2 linked regions of the Mytilus edulis genome follow. The protein of the gene in region 2 purifies or fractionates together with the protein of the main gene of each other region. This does not show direct contact. Links are inferred from orthologs where the notes say so. Each region holds a gene or a part of one and is shown on either strand. Other genes may lie near its edges.

Evidence for each region.
Region 1: the proteins of striatin-interacting protein 1 homolog (region 2) and striatin-like purify together in Drosophila melanogaster (affinity purification with western blotting; 4 studies listed by BioGRID, with this or other methods). This does not show direct contact. The link is inferred for Mytilus edulis from reciprocal best matches to the Drosophila melanogaster genes Strip and Cka.

Annotation. Positions count from the first base shown.
Region 1 is NC_092346.1:56,179,513-56,187,437, forward strand, and holds the start of striatin-like, read left to right. Parts: upstream 1-4,921; 5' UTR 4,922-5,005; coding exon 5,006-5,209; intron 5,210-6,815; coding exon 6,816-6,919; intron 6,920-7,793; coding exon 7,794-7,873; intron 7,874-7,925. Other genes in the region: AP-4 complex subunit sigma-1-like, read right to left, coding at 198-284, 1,572-1,706.
Region 2 is NC_092344.1:72,367,946-72,375,211, reverse strand, and holds the start of striatin-interacting protein 1 homolog, read right to left. Parts: upstream 3,293-7,266; 5' UTR 3,251-3,292; coding exon 3,164-3,250; intron 2,246-3,163; coding exon 2,176-2,245; intron 507-2,175; coding exon 432-506; intron 1-431.

The sequences.
Region 1 (7,925 bases), on a different chromosome or scaffold from region 2:
ATATGATAATATAACATTCATGACAAAAGCTATCTTCAATTAAAATATAACTTAAGCATTTCACATTATCAAAAAATGTACAAACGTTTAGTAATAACAATGTCATCATGCAAATAATCTAAAAGGTAATTACCAACTATAATCTAATTTCCATAACAGATTTCAATTCTAAAGAACAATTCTAACAGTTACGTTACCTCATCTTCTGTAATTCCTGCAGCAAAAACCAAGTTACCATAGTGACGGTATACTAAAGTGTAATCTTTATAATCTAGTATTCCTTCCTGGAAATGGATATTTTGATGTTTAAGTGTATTAATATCTTGCCTTTTTGTATTTCCTTTTCATCATTATTACAGAAATAATTCATTTTGAAAATGGCTCCTAGATTTCTTATGTCTCAAAAAATCCTTTTGATGTCATATCCTTTTATTTACTTTTTTAAGATACACATTTTTTATTGTCCTTGAAAAAGTACATTGAGTAAATGTAGTCTGATGCCTGTAAAACATCCAGTATCCTTTTTGGGTTTTTATAAATTTACTGAAATAAAGATTTAGCTTAAGGGGGCACTAGCTGTCAAATTCATGGTCACCGATTTGAGTCAAATTCTCATATTTGATTTATAACAATGTAAAACATTTATACAAACTATCAAAAGTCTAAAATAAACAGTTTTCAGAGCATGTGGTAGATAATATATAGGTTCGTTTCGTGTGTATTTTAGTCCAGACGCCATCTAATTAAATATCGATTTGACCTCAGATGAACATACAAGCGATGTAAACATAAATAAAGATATGAATAGATTAAACCAGTACGTGCAATTAGATTTTTATAGGTCTGTTTGATTTGATTTTATAGAATAAAAATTGATGTTTCTCATTGTTTTTAATCGTATGAGAATGATTTTATGTAATCAAATGATTAACCGTAGTTTCACTTTCATTGTTGACATTCTTTTTCTTTAAATAACAAGTACACGTACAATGCATGCATCTAGCTAGGGGTTAAATTGAAGTTCACATGAATAAGGATTTAAAGAGGTCAAATCATTCACTTGCAAGTGAATAACTAATTATCAATGTTTCTTAGCGTAATTTGACAAAATGGAACCTTTTTGGCTGCAAAAAGCAAATTGTTATTTCACTATTTCACTTTTATTATTGATTGAACAGAAAAAAATCAAACTTTAGATTTTTTATATATCTCGTAGCTAGTGTCCCTTTAACCAAACTATGTACACATTACTTCAATTGAAACCTGGTTCAACACAAAACAATCAAGATTTTTTTCTATTAAAACAAGCATTGTGACTAATTTATTTTCCATAAATATCAGCAAGATGTGTTAACAAGATCAAACATTTTTTTATGGGAGACAGTGTTTATTTAAACAAGGACTCAAATGCAGACATAATGATTTACTTTTATAAATTGTTATTTGGATGGAGAGTTGTCTCATTGGCACTCATACCACATCTTTCTTTATCTATTTAAACTTGTATATACATGTGATATAGCATTCATTTTGAAACTTTATTAATGTATTGAAGCAAAACGGTACTGTACCTGTTTTGAATGCGCTAAGCAAACATTAGAAACCTCTTTTTGAACTGTTATTCTTTGGGATTCTAGAGGATTGTCATAAAATCTAACAATTCTTGGTTTTCCAATTTTGTTGAAAAGGAAAATGAACTTTATCATAATTGCACCTAAAAATAATAAAACTAAATTAAAATTTCACCATAATTATTTAGAAATAAACTTTATACTTAACATTTTTAGAAATGTTTTATGTATACAACAGACAGACAACTAAAACATACTCTTAAGTGAAGGCGTAAGCGCTAAAAGAAGGGTTTTCAGACATCAAGGGAACAACCAAAAACCATTTTTTAAAGGCATACAGACAGACAACAACATATCAAAAAGAAAATTCATGTATAAAAGTATAACAAAAATAACAAACTTCAAAGGTAAATTCTAAACGTTAAAGTCAATAAAGAGTGACAAGATCAGACATTATCAATAGCTCCATAAATTTGTTTTCTGGATGGTTTTTTTTTGCCCATTCTCACGCTCACATTTAAGGCTAAGATGGCATATCTTTAGAATCAATGCATTCTTGGTTAACTTAATACTGTTTTATAAAGCATACATCAGTTTGTTGTCATTTGCTATCAATGTCATAAACAATTAAAATTTAGCTAATGATGTGAGATTATCATTTTGGGATAGAAATAATGATATAACCCACTCCTTTAGATCATGAAAAGTTAAATTTCTTACCTATTAAAATAATATTTCATGTCTTTAGATTATTTATTAATAAAGTTGAGAAACCAGGATTGTGTATCAAAGAGACAACAACCCGACCAAAGAGCAGAAAAAAACCACAAGGCCACCAATGGGTCTTTATCGCAGCAAGAAAATCCTGCACCTGCAGGCAGGCTTCAGCTGGCTCCTAAACAAATATGTGTACTGTCATTCACAAAATAACTTTTTTCTAATCAAGTAACTTTGAAATTAACAGTGATTTTCCTCTTATTATCTGTGACCATATTTATAGAATGAAAATCAAACTTTATTAATTTTGTACATTTCAAGTGCTTTACTGGATTTATCTTTATCAGGGACACTCATACCCGAAATTGTGAATACCAAGGATGTACCTTATCATGTAAAGAGCTGTATGACTTAAAAGGACTACATGTATTATAAACAATATATCCAGTCATCTAAGGTCAACTTTGCATGAGGTAGTTGTAATTTGATTCCAATTATGATTGCAATTGCTTTAGTTATATTTGATTGAGCCTCCTCAAAACACTTTTCACAAATGCATATGCCTATTTAAACAATTTTGACCTTGACCTTAGACACAGCAACATAAAAAATAATAAATTTAATATCTTCCTCTCATGATATGTGCCCATTATATGTGCAAGTAAGGTTGCAATTCCATGTGTAGTATTTGATTAAGGATGAGGAAACCACTTGTCAGCAGAAATCTGTCTATTAATTTGTAGTAAACAAGACCTTGACCTTTGACCTGATGACCTTCAAATCAATAGGAATCTTTCTCTCTTACAAAATATATATGACAGTATATCCAAGCATGAATGAAATCAGAAATTAAGAATAAGAGTTAAAAACTGAACCCATATGACTGAAAATATGACTACAGGAATCTATAATTCACATTTGTCAATTCCTATCCATATCCTATATCACAATGGTTATTATATAGTCACATTTTAAAAGAGTATTGTTTAATGACATCTTTTCCAAACATTCCAGCGCGACTAATTAAAGCCTTTAAAAAGAACTTAAAAATTGTCACTTTATGATTCCCCCCCAATTAGTTTTAAAAGGGAGATGTGATCTATACCAAGGATTTGTATAGATAAGATAACTTTATTAGCACTAAAGCATTGACAATAAATGGTTATGTATAGTAAGATCTTTAAATCCTTGTCTGCATCAAGTGATTCCATCATCATGCATAATATAGCTAAATTCTTGAAATAAGAAGCCTTTTGCACTCTTTCATTCTTTTTTCAAGTTTATACTATTGTTTCATTTATGTAACTTATGATAAGTAACAATATTTACAAATTTTTATGTCTCTGTATAATATTTTCATTCATGAATCATTGATAATTATTGTACACTATTTACCAATTTTGATGTCTGTATAATATTTTCATTCATGAATCATTTGATAATTATTGATTTTATAACTTATACTCTGGCCCCTGCTGTTCAGGGTTGATTAAATACAAAAAAATCTAATTTTGTATCTTATTTCACAGCATACGTGTGTATTCAATAACAAGAGGCTGTCACAACGACAGCAAACCGGATTTATTAATATTTATTTGTGTCCTGGCAATATCACAAGAACCATTACTGATGAGTGGTGAAAGTGAAAATCGTCAATATCAAATTTGACCTCCATTTTGTCATCAGTATCAACATATTAAAATTTGAAAAGCTTAGATTGAATGGTTCATGAGTAAATGCAACAACGTGAATGGAAACGCCATTTTACAATCTTTCAAGAACCATAACGCCTGAACGGTAAAAGTCAGAATCGTCATTATTGAACTTGACCTCTATTTTGTCATCAGTAACAACATATAAAAATTTCAAAAGCTTTGGTTGAATGGTTCATGAGAAAATGCACGGACACAACTGGAAACACCATTTTTCAATCTTTCAAGAACCATAACTCCTGAACGGTAAAGGTCAAAATCGTCATTATTTAACTTGACTTCTATTTTGTCATCAGTTACAACATATTAAAATTTGGGAAGCTTTGGTAGAACAGTTCATGCATAAATGCACGGACACAAATGGAAACTCCATTTTTCAATCTTTCAAGAACCATAACTCCTGAACGGTAAAAGTCAAAATCGTCATTATTTAACTTGACCTCCATTTTGTCATCAGTAACAACATATTTAAATTTGGGAAGCTTTGGTAGAACAGTTCATGCGTAAATGCACGGACAGGACTGAAAACTCCATTTTTCAATCTTTCAAGAACCATAACTCCTGAACCGTAAAAGTCAAAATCGCCATTATTGAACTTGACCTTCATTTAGATGTCAGTAACAACATATTAAAATTTTAAAAGCTTTGGCTGAACGGTTCATGAGTTAATGCACGGACAACATTTGATTGCCGCCCGCCCGACCACCCGGCCGCCCGACTGCCCGACCGCCCGACCGCCCGGCCGCCCGCCGAGCATCCTCAAATCAATAACCGACATTTTTGTCACAAAAATCCGGTTAAAAAGTACTGTTATGATCTGTTATGAATGAGAATTTGGTCTGCAGAAGCTTTTTCGGGTGGGGTAAAGAATTTTTTCAATCTACCAGATTTCCTTTGATAGGAAAGAAAAGTCCAGACGCATTCCGAAGGAAAATTTTGCGTCACTGACATCTGAAGCGACACCTATCATAATAAAAATGAAGAAAATGGCGATCCTCTGAAATAATGATTAACGATAGTGAAGGACCTCAAAACGGAGGGTCTCTGGGCCCTGTTTCCGGAGCAATAGGGATGATGACTAAACAGCAAGATGAATCTATTCAACGGCCACAGTATTCTATGCCTGGAATATTGCATTTCTTGCAGACAGAATGGTCCCGTTTCGAGATGGAGCGATCGCAATGGGAAGTTGAACGTGCAGAACTCCAAGTGAGGACTTAGCAAAAAAGCACATAATGCAATTTAATAAATCTTTAATCTTTAAACTATCATATAATGGCTAAGTTATGGTTGTTATTTAACAGATCTTCTACAAACATCCGTGTTAAAATCATATATCCCAGGACGCCATTTTGCAGAAATCAATATGGCGGCCAAATTTGACATCTGATTCACTTATTCGCTGTGACAGTACCGTAGAGGTCTTTAGTAGAAAGCATTGTACCACCAATGGGATTTCTCAAGATAATACTCCCCTGAGGGATAAGTAAACAAAAGCATATTGAATGGTTTTCTCTTAACATTGTCAAGTGTGTAAACAACACAAAGCTCTCACAACACCCTTTCAGTTGTTTATAAAGAGCTTGTGTCTAATGTCTATTTCCCCATTGCAATACATTGTGTGGGTTTGTGGTTTAGTAGCTAAGACAGATGGCTACCATGCTGAAGGTCCCAGGTTGGGATATGACTCAGGGCGCTGGAAATTTCAGTACATCACAAGGGTGATTTTCACGGTATCTGATCTGTTCGCCCAGATTTCATGGTTGCCCTGGTCCGTTCGCCCTACTTTAAATAATTCAATTAAGGGCTTTTAAGTTTAACGTATTCAGATATTATATGGTATATATTCTTGAAATTTATGAAACCACATGGAAATATTTAAAAGTTGATGACTTGTTTTGTGAGCAATATAATTGTTCAATGATATAATAATTCTCACTGATTGTTGTAACAAAGTTTTGTTTTTTTGATAAACTAGTCCGCTTGGAATTGATAAAAACATGTTATACAAATATATGTATAGATTATCGGGTTTTCTACTCATTGATATCGTAAAATATCAGCTGCGAGCCACAATGTGAACCTTTTTGGCGAGTGAGTGTAGCAAACGAAACACAAAAAAAAGCTGCTGATATTTTACGATAATTATACGAAGAAAACCCGATTATCTTTTTATCGTTCTATTACTTGTCGTTTCTTTCTCCCTAAGACAGTTTTACGCTTGAAAAAAGGAAGCTTCATAATGTCTCCTCTCACATTGTGACGTCCCTGATAATGTCTCCTCTCACATTGTGACGTCGCTGATAATGCCAGGTCTCGTTTTGGAGTCTTGATACAAGAATTACGGAGCAGCAGAGCAGGGTGATATAGGCAGAGGAAAGGACGATAATAGCAATAATCTTACCAAAACATGATTAAGATTTAATCAACAAAAAAAAACCCGTCAGATTCTCACTATACTGAAAATGAAAAAAACATTTATAGCAATACAATAACCAAAACTTGATACAACATGTACAATAATATTAAACACAAAACCAATGAAAAGGGTGCTAAACAGCTAAAGTGTAGGGTTGGAACAGACTTTGGGTGCGAAAGTGAAAGAGGGCAAACGTTAATGGGCGCTTATGTGTTTTAGGGTGACCAGACTATGATTCTCAGAGGAGGTATAGTTCAATTGAATTGAATTTATACTTCGAATGGTGAAATCTATTTCAAGTGTTGTGTAATCAACACAGTCTAGGGCCAACATCAGATTACTCTTGACAATAAAACTTCTCTTTATCATGTTTATGAACATATATTTATTTTTTAGGCCAGAATTGCATTTTTACAAGGAGAAAGAAAAGGACAAGAAAATTTAAAACAAGATCTTGTCAGAAGAATAAAAATGCTGGAATATGCCCTGAAACAGGAAAGGTAAGTTGACAATCTATAGTGTCAGTTGTTAAAATTAATGGTAGTGCAAAACATTGTTGTTCAATACAGAGAAATGTGATGATGGTCAAAATAAAAACATAAAATTGTGTCATGATATTGGCTCAGCCTAAGATTATCATTTTACAATACCATGAATACCCCCTGTATTGAAATAACAATCAAATTAATACCAATTCTGGAAAGCAGAATTGAAAACATTAAACTTTTAAGTGGGTGAACAGCCAATATGTTATTTTTGGTGGCTAAAATTTAATTAATCTAGAAAACATGTAAACAAAAATGAGTCCATCTCAAAGTTTAGGGACCATGGGCTCCCAGGAATTGTCATCCTTGCTTTTAAAGGTTTCTCACAAACACACTGTTTTCTCTGGGGAAAATTTTATATCCTCCTGGTAAACAGGTAATTAAGAAATACCATCTTGTTTCTAGAAATTATAGCATGACACCCATAACACAATCTGTAAAAAAAACCACTTCAGATACTAGATAGAATCACATTCTAGTGATATAGCAAATTAACATCACATTACCATGGTGCTAAAAGGCCATGGTGAAAACACTGAAATATTCATCAATCCATAGTATAACCAATATGACACAAACATGGTGTCAAGATAAACCATTGTGTCCAGAAACTTTATTTTGTTGTTCTGTCTGTTGTGAAAAGCAAGACTTATCATTCTAAAATTCAACTGGCAAAGTCAATTATATTGACAATTATTCAGTCAAGTTCTGAATATTTTTTCCAACTAGTCAAAAATTTAGTCATTACAAAAAAAAAAAAAAAATGTTAAAGTCATTGAATTTATAATTCTTGGGGGATTCTCAAGGATATTTAATTCTATAATTTCAGGTCAAAATACCACAAGTTAAAATATGGAACAGAAATCAATCAGGAAGACTTGAAGCCCCCTGCATTAGAAAAGAAAGATGGTAAATATTATCATGATAATACATTAATTCAATTTTGCCAGTTACATGAATA
Region 2 (7,266 bases):
AATAGCGAAAATAAAACTACCGCGAAAATTTCCCTGTTTACAGTAATATGTAGAACAAAGACTAAACAGTTTATTACTTGCAAAGCTGAAACTGTTAATATTAGAGTAAATAACATACTGAGGATTCATTATTATTCGTTGGATACCAATTTTCGTGGGTTTCGTGGGTATGGATTAACCACGAAATCAAATGTTCAACGAAATACATATTCTAATAGGCTTAGTAAACAGAGATTGTCAAAAACACGAAATCAAATATCCATGAATATGCAAGTTTTCAGCAATCCACGAAAATAAATGAATCCACAGTAGATACAGTCATCTGTAAAACAAACTTAAAAGATCAAGGTTGTCCCTGTCACAGAAGAGTTTTTTAGACACCTTGTTTTTTATTTGACATTTTGGTAGCTCTTAAGTCTCTAATTTATTACCTTTTGCTGTGAATCCATCTTCAAAGCACTTTCTATTTAATGCAAACTCACTCTCTTCTGTGTAACTGTATAATTCTACAAAAAATGATTATTATTGTATGAATTTGCATTATATGCGTTCTCTAATTCTTTGGCAATTCAACCCCTTCTGTACCATTGTTTAAAAGATTGGTTCTGAAAAGGCCAAAAATTTCTAAGGTTATTGGACCATATATATTTTGGATAACCATGACAGCAGAAAAATTCCTTCAATCACATGGCAATGTTAGCGGTCTTTTATTCAACAAAGTTTTAAGTTAAATGAACAAAGATGCTGGTACAGATAAACAGATGGAAAGTCTGATTCTTAAATGCCCTTCAAAGTTTGTTTGAGGGGTATAATGAAAACAGAATATTGAAATCATGACTTGCTTTTAGAAGCCAGTTTGATTCAACCTCATAATAATGAGCTCAAAAACATTGCTCATAAAATATTGACTTGCAAGAAAAATAAATTGCTTCACCGAGCCCAGCTGGATACAAACGCAGAGGTCCAACCCTGAACAGTTGGGACAAAAATGGACATAATATTTGAGCTTGATACAGGTCTGAATTTGAATTGTAATTAAATATTTGACACCTAATACATGTAGGTTCCTGACACAGAATAACTGTAGTCAAAGAACTTAGAATTAATTGGTTGTATGATTTGAATTTATATGTTTTTTGCTTTTTGGCAATACACTATGCTGTTGCGAATTGACCTCCCCCAAACCCATCCCTAAAAAAAAATGTTTACATTTAAACAGATATAAAAAGTTATTGTCTGGAAACTAAAAAAATGCTTATTTGGGCCCTTTTTTTGGCCCCTAATTCCTAAACTGTTGGGACCATAACCCCCAAAATCAATCCCAACCTTTCTTTAGTGGTATTGAACCTTCTGGTAAAAAATTATAGAGATCCATTTACTGAAACTTAACTTATTGTCCGGACACTAAATGCGTCTTTAGACGATGACGACATGATAGCATTATACGATGCAAAACAATTTTGCGGTTGTATAAAAATGATTTCAATAGGGTCTGTATGCATGCAACTTTAATTTTGACAAATAGAAATGAGTAGGAGATGTGATCAGCCTGTCCAGTGATTAAAACTATAACTGTTAGCTGACAAAGTGAAACTAGAGAAGAACACAGAAAGACATATTTTGTTGATTGATTCCACCCACAACAAAGTCTAATGTATAAGTAATGAGTAAACAATTTAATAATTTATATGTTTAACTTTGTATATCTCTGAAATGTGATCAGACAAAACTAAAAAAAAATCAACACAATACTTCAAGTCTTGTTGCATCTGCCTGCTTGTCTTTTTGTATTTGTTAACCTGTCTGTTTATATTTATAAATAAATAATCATGTTGACAGTTGATTTGATTGATTCCAGTTAGGAAAACACAAGAAAGTTGATACTAATTAGTAGCTGTTCAATAAATTGTGTATTATTTCTATAGAACTCTTGCATTGTACATACATGTACCTCTAAATACAGGTTTAGTATATATTAAATAAAATTTAAGAACTTGAATCAACTAGGGGGCATGAATTTTGACAGATAATTGAAGTAATGTCAAATATATGCATTTAAAAGAAATATGATTCTTTGAGAAATTATCAGTTACAAATTTAATTATTCATGTTGTGTACAGCTTATAATATTTCTAATAGTCAATAATTATCTGTCAACACTTCTTTTATCTATACCTGACATTTCACTCTGGTAAGTGTCTGCATCATCATACAAAAATTCTATATCTGGACTATCCGTCATACTCTGGAAAACAAAAGGACTCAATTATCTAAATATTCATAAACAGTCACCTTCACTCAAAATATTTTAACTACATGGAACTGGGGGTAAAAAATTACATAAATTATTGTTTGCTTTTTCTTCATTTCTTTTATTTACAAAATACATTACAAATGTACATTGATATCATACGTATACTCTTACTTTTCTAAATTGTATACTACATGTATCTGAAATTGTCTATAATACATTTGTATATGTTCTAATAACTTGAAATCTTATAGTTCAATGTACATTGTACATCTATGAGATAATTTCTATACTTATTCTGTCATCTGTAATTATAATGTACTATGCAGTTACTGCGTCTGAGTTTGTTTAATAAAGTTGAAAGTTGAAAGCAAATTCTATGATACAATGTAGTACCTGTAGTAACCATTATGTCAATGGGGGTTACAAAACAAGGTAACTGAATTATGGTGCACATTTTGTGCCTTATATGCCCTAGAAATACAGCATTGAAGGAAATGGCAATGGACAGTTACTGATTTGAGACCAGTATCTATTTCCAATACAGATTGTAAAATAAGGATTGTGTATCAAATACAACTAATTCATTAAATTATCACAGACATGAAGCAGTGCCAGTAAATTATTTCACAAAACCTGGTAAGACAGTAGTAACAAAAAAGAAGATATTAAAAATCGAATATTCAATTATCAGTGATAGTTATGAAAAGTGAAAAGTAACATATAACTGAGAACCTGTATCATTTAAATTTTACATTACAAAGTGTAAATTTAGTCTTTAGTTTAAAATTAGTCACTGTATAAATCTCTGTAAAGACTAAAGTTGGGATGATTTTGACAGCGGAAGTAACATTGCATTTGCTGATTGGTTTTATTCATAGTTTGTCTTAAAACTTATATTTATAGATGTACCTCTGACAGCGAATCTTCTCTTTGCCTCCGCAAAAGGTCCCTTAATTTGGGCAACCCCTCGCCCTTTCGAGGCCCAGCATCCATCATTATTATTATTATTTAGAAGGGAGACAATCATGTATACAAAACAGAGTTACTTACCCTTGGAAGTAAGACAACTCGCCCCATTAGCAATTCGCCCCACTTTTTCACCCTTAATGCCAATATTTAACGTCTTCGGTTAAATTAGTCCCCTGTGTATTTAAGAGTTATGTTATAATCAATCAGAGTGAAATAAATTGTTATAATAATAATTTCCTCGACATGGACCCTTTAATTTGTGGCCTGAGTTTATTTCTTATGAAATAAGAATTTTGCAATCTGGCAGTTAATTAACTGGGTGTAAATAATACTAGAGACGCTATAATACATTATCTATTGCAAGTCTCCGATGATACCCACCCCAGTACATCCGCGTTAAAATTTTACCAAAATCTGTTGCATAAACACATGTTGAATAATTGAATGAAGATATAAAAAAAAATACATTTGAAAACAGAAACTTGAGGGAAAAAATTAATTTTGACAAAAAAGAAAAAAAGAGATTTTGCCAAGATGATTTGTTCCCTTCTAAATCTTAAAATCATCTTTTACCTTAATGTCCGTCATTAATGCGGTTCAAGTCACTGGCTGGGGAGAGAGGGTTCAACAACCGCATGATACGTACATATATGAATTTATCTTATGTAAAGGGAGTTCGCTTCTCAGTTTCAAAATAATTAGCTTTTCATAACACTAGTTTAACATGACAGGGAATTAATAAAGGAATCAAAACTAAAGAGCCAACAAAAAAAAATAGGTCAATGGCTTGTTTTCGATATATTAGTAAGTTATTGATATTTTGGCGGGGAAATATTCTCTTTTGACTTTTCATAGCTTTATGAAGTTTAAGTTCTCAAAAACTATTGAAAAATAATTAAAATTTTATAAGACTTTTATAGATGGCTTATCATTATACATGTAAAAGATTTATAAAAAGAAAACTGTTTTTTTTTAATTCATTCAAATGGATAAAACTAGAGTTCCGAAAATCTGACAAAAATCCCAAAACATGACCAGGCGAATAATGTTAAATTATTTTTGAAATGTATTATGTAATATTCTGTTTTGTTTTTATGTATACCACCTATACCCCATTGGGGTATAATTAACAGTGTAATATTTTCAATTAATTTTATATAGGACAACCACTTTATTTGCAGCCGGGGTCGCCGCATTAAAAATATATGCGTTATTCTTGGCAAAACACTCTTAATCTGAATGATTGTTTTTAATATTAAAGGAAATAGAATAGAATGTGAAGATGGCGTTAATTAAGCTACTGGGAGTTACACTAGATTACAGATTAAATCTTGATAAACTAATATCTCAGATTTTTAAGAATCCCTCTCGTCCACTTAATGTTCTTAAAGTATTGGTAGGTATTTGGAAATACTTGGTTCGTGTGGTTGTCTAACACTTTATTATTCATTTATTTTGTCTAATCTCAATTATTAATACTTGGTTCGTGTGTTTGTCTAACAATTTATTATTAATTTATTTTGTCTAATCTCAATTATTGCCCAGTCATCTGGCATTTTCATTAAAAAAAAACTCAGTTAATGATAAGAAAAAATCCAAGAGAGAGCCTTGATATTTGTTGATTAGGATTATGATAGCTCTGACATAAAAAAGAAAAGATCTTTTACATAAGACAAATCATCAGAAGAAAACGATCAATACCTATAGAAACTTTTAAAATTATACACTAAATGACAGACTATCATATTTACATGATTTGGTTATTAATATGAAAACCACACTTTGATACAGTTGAACAGACTCAGGTAAGAACAAGAAGCTATGACATCAATTCCTTTCGCTATAAGTAGCTGCAAAAATTTTGGAATGAACTACCAAAGAGTTTTAGAGAAGAAACCATTTTAATTAATTTTCGTAAATAATTGTTACCGGGAATGGTAGTTCATGACTATGTAATGCCTGCAAATAATTAATGCTTAATTTATAGGGATTTTCTGCTCAATGTGCTAAAACTGCTTACTAGTATGTATTTGAAGTGCTTAATATGCTTCTAATATTGATTGAATACGATACTTTTAATACTTCTGCAAAGTATAACATACATTAACGTCTTCGTGTCATTTTATTGTATATGTCCTTAAATGCAATGATTTTGTTTGGTTGTGTTGCTCTTTTGTATGCTGTATGCTTGGTTTGTTTTAAACGGGCATGTTTTTTTAATGTTTTGTTTGTAATAAGACGATATGAAAGCTCAATAGAGCTTATGTTTTCTGTATACTGAATATTCGTCTATATAAATATTAAAGCTTTTGTACTAACATGAGCAACACGACGTTTTCCACATGTGGAGCAGGATTTGATTACCCATCCGGAGCACATGACATCACCCTTTAATACTTCTGCAAAGTATAACATACATTAACGTCTTCGTGTCATTTATTGTATATGTCCTTAAATGCAATGATTTTGTTTGGTTGTGTTGCTCTTTTGTATGCTGTATGCTTGGTTTGTTTTAAACGGGCATGTTTTTTAATGTTTTGTTTGTAATAAGACGATATGAAAGCTCAATATAGAGCTTATGTTTTCTGTATACTGATTATTCGTCTATATAAATATTAAAGCTTTTGTACTAACATGAGCAACACGACGTTTGCCACATGTGGAGCAGGATTTGATTACCCATCCGGAGCACATGAGATCCCCCCAGTTTTTGGTGGGGTTCGTGTTGCTTAGTCTAGTTTTCTACGTTGTGTTTTGAGAACTATTGTTTGTCTGTTGGTCCTTTTCTTCTTTATGGTGTTGTCAGTCTATTTTCGACTTATGCGTTTGAATGTCCCTCTGGAATGTTCCGCCTTTCCTTCATACATACATCAAACAGTCTACTAAATTCTATAAAAGTCAGGGCCCTTTAGAATTTTTTTCAAAACGAATGACGTCCATGACATTAGTTCTATATTCACTTATGTTGTAATATTATAATCTTAAGTAGCCTACGTCCTAATTGGATTGTAAACATTTCGTTATAGAGAGATGCAATTGAACTTTATAAAGTGTTTATGTCCCAGAAAAACGGAAGAGTGTCCACTTAATCATGAGTACCAATAATTATATATATATTAAGTCACTGACATCATTTTAATACTTTAAATTTGGAAACGTATTTAACGAGTAAGTATCTTTTGTTGAAGTTAATTGTATATTTAGTTTTCAGTTTTCGAATTACTCAAACATAATTTTATTTTTATAACTTAAATGATTTTGTGAAGAATAATTTATATTTTAAAGTTTTAGTCTTTTCAGATATTCAGGAATTGGGTATCAATGCTGATCAACTTATTTTGACCTTTTTAACCATTTCGATTTGAATATCACTGATGAGTCATGTGTAGACAAAATGCGCATCTGCATGGTCCATGTATAAAATTTTAACCCTTGTATCTATGATGAGCTATTAATCGCACTTTTTCATCTATATTGTCAAAAAAATAATATATTACGTATATACAACAATTTAATAACATCGCAATATATCTGTCATACAAGTGAGAGGTTTAGCGCTATAAAACCAGGTTCAATCCACCATTTTCTACATTTGAAAATACCTGTACCAAGTCAGAAATATGACAGTTGTTGTCCATTCGTTTGATGTGTTTTGTCGTTTGATTTTTCTATTTGATTAGGGACTTTCCGTTTTGATGTTTCCTCGGAGTTCAGTATTTTTGTGATTTTACCTTCTGATACTGCATTGGCAATTGTCTGTTTTCCCATAAATGCCTTTGAGTTTTTGTCACGGCTGTCGTGTTGCTGTCTCTGTCACATGAAAGGCATCGCCTTTTATTGATATTCATAACTTTTTTTATGTTGTTTGGTTGTTTTCTATCTGACACACACTCCGTACCTTATGTTATCAACAACTCAGTTGGTACTGAGACTAGTTTCGGCAGAAGAAATTGAACAATCATATACATAATTTGTTAAGGAGAGAGACCATCAATTTGCAAAACAAATTGACGCAGTTAAGTATAAAACAACTATTCCCCTTT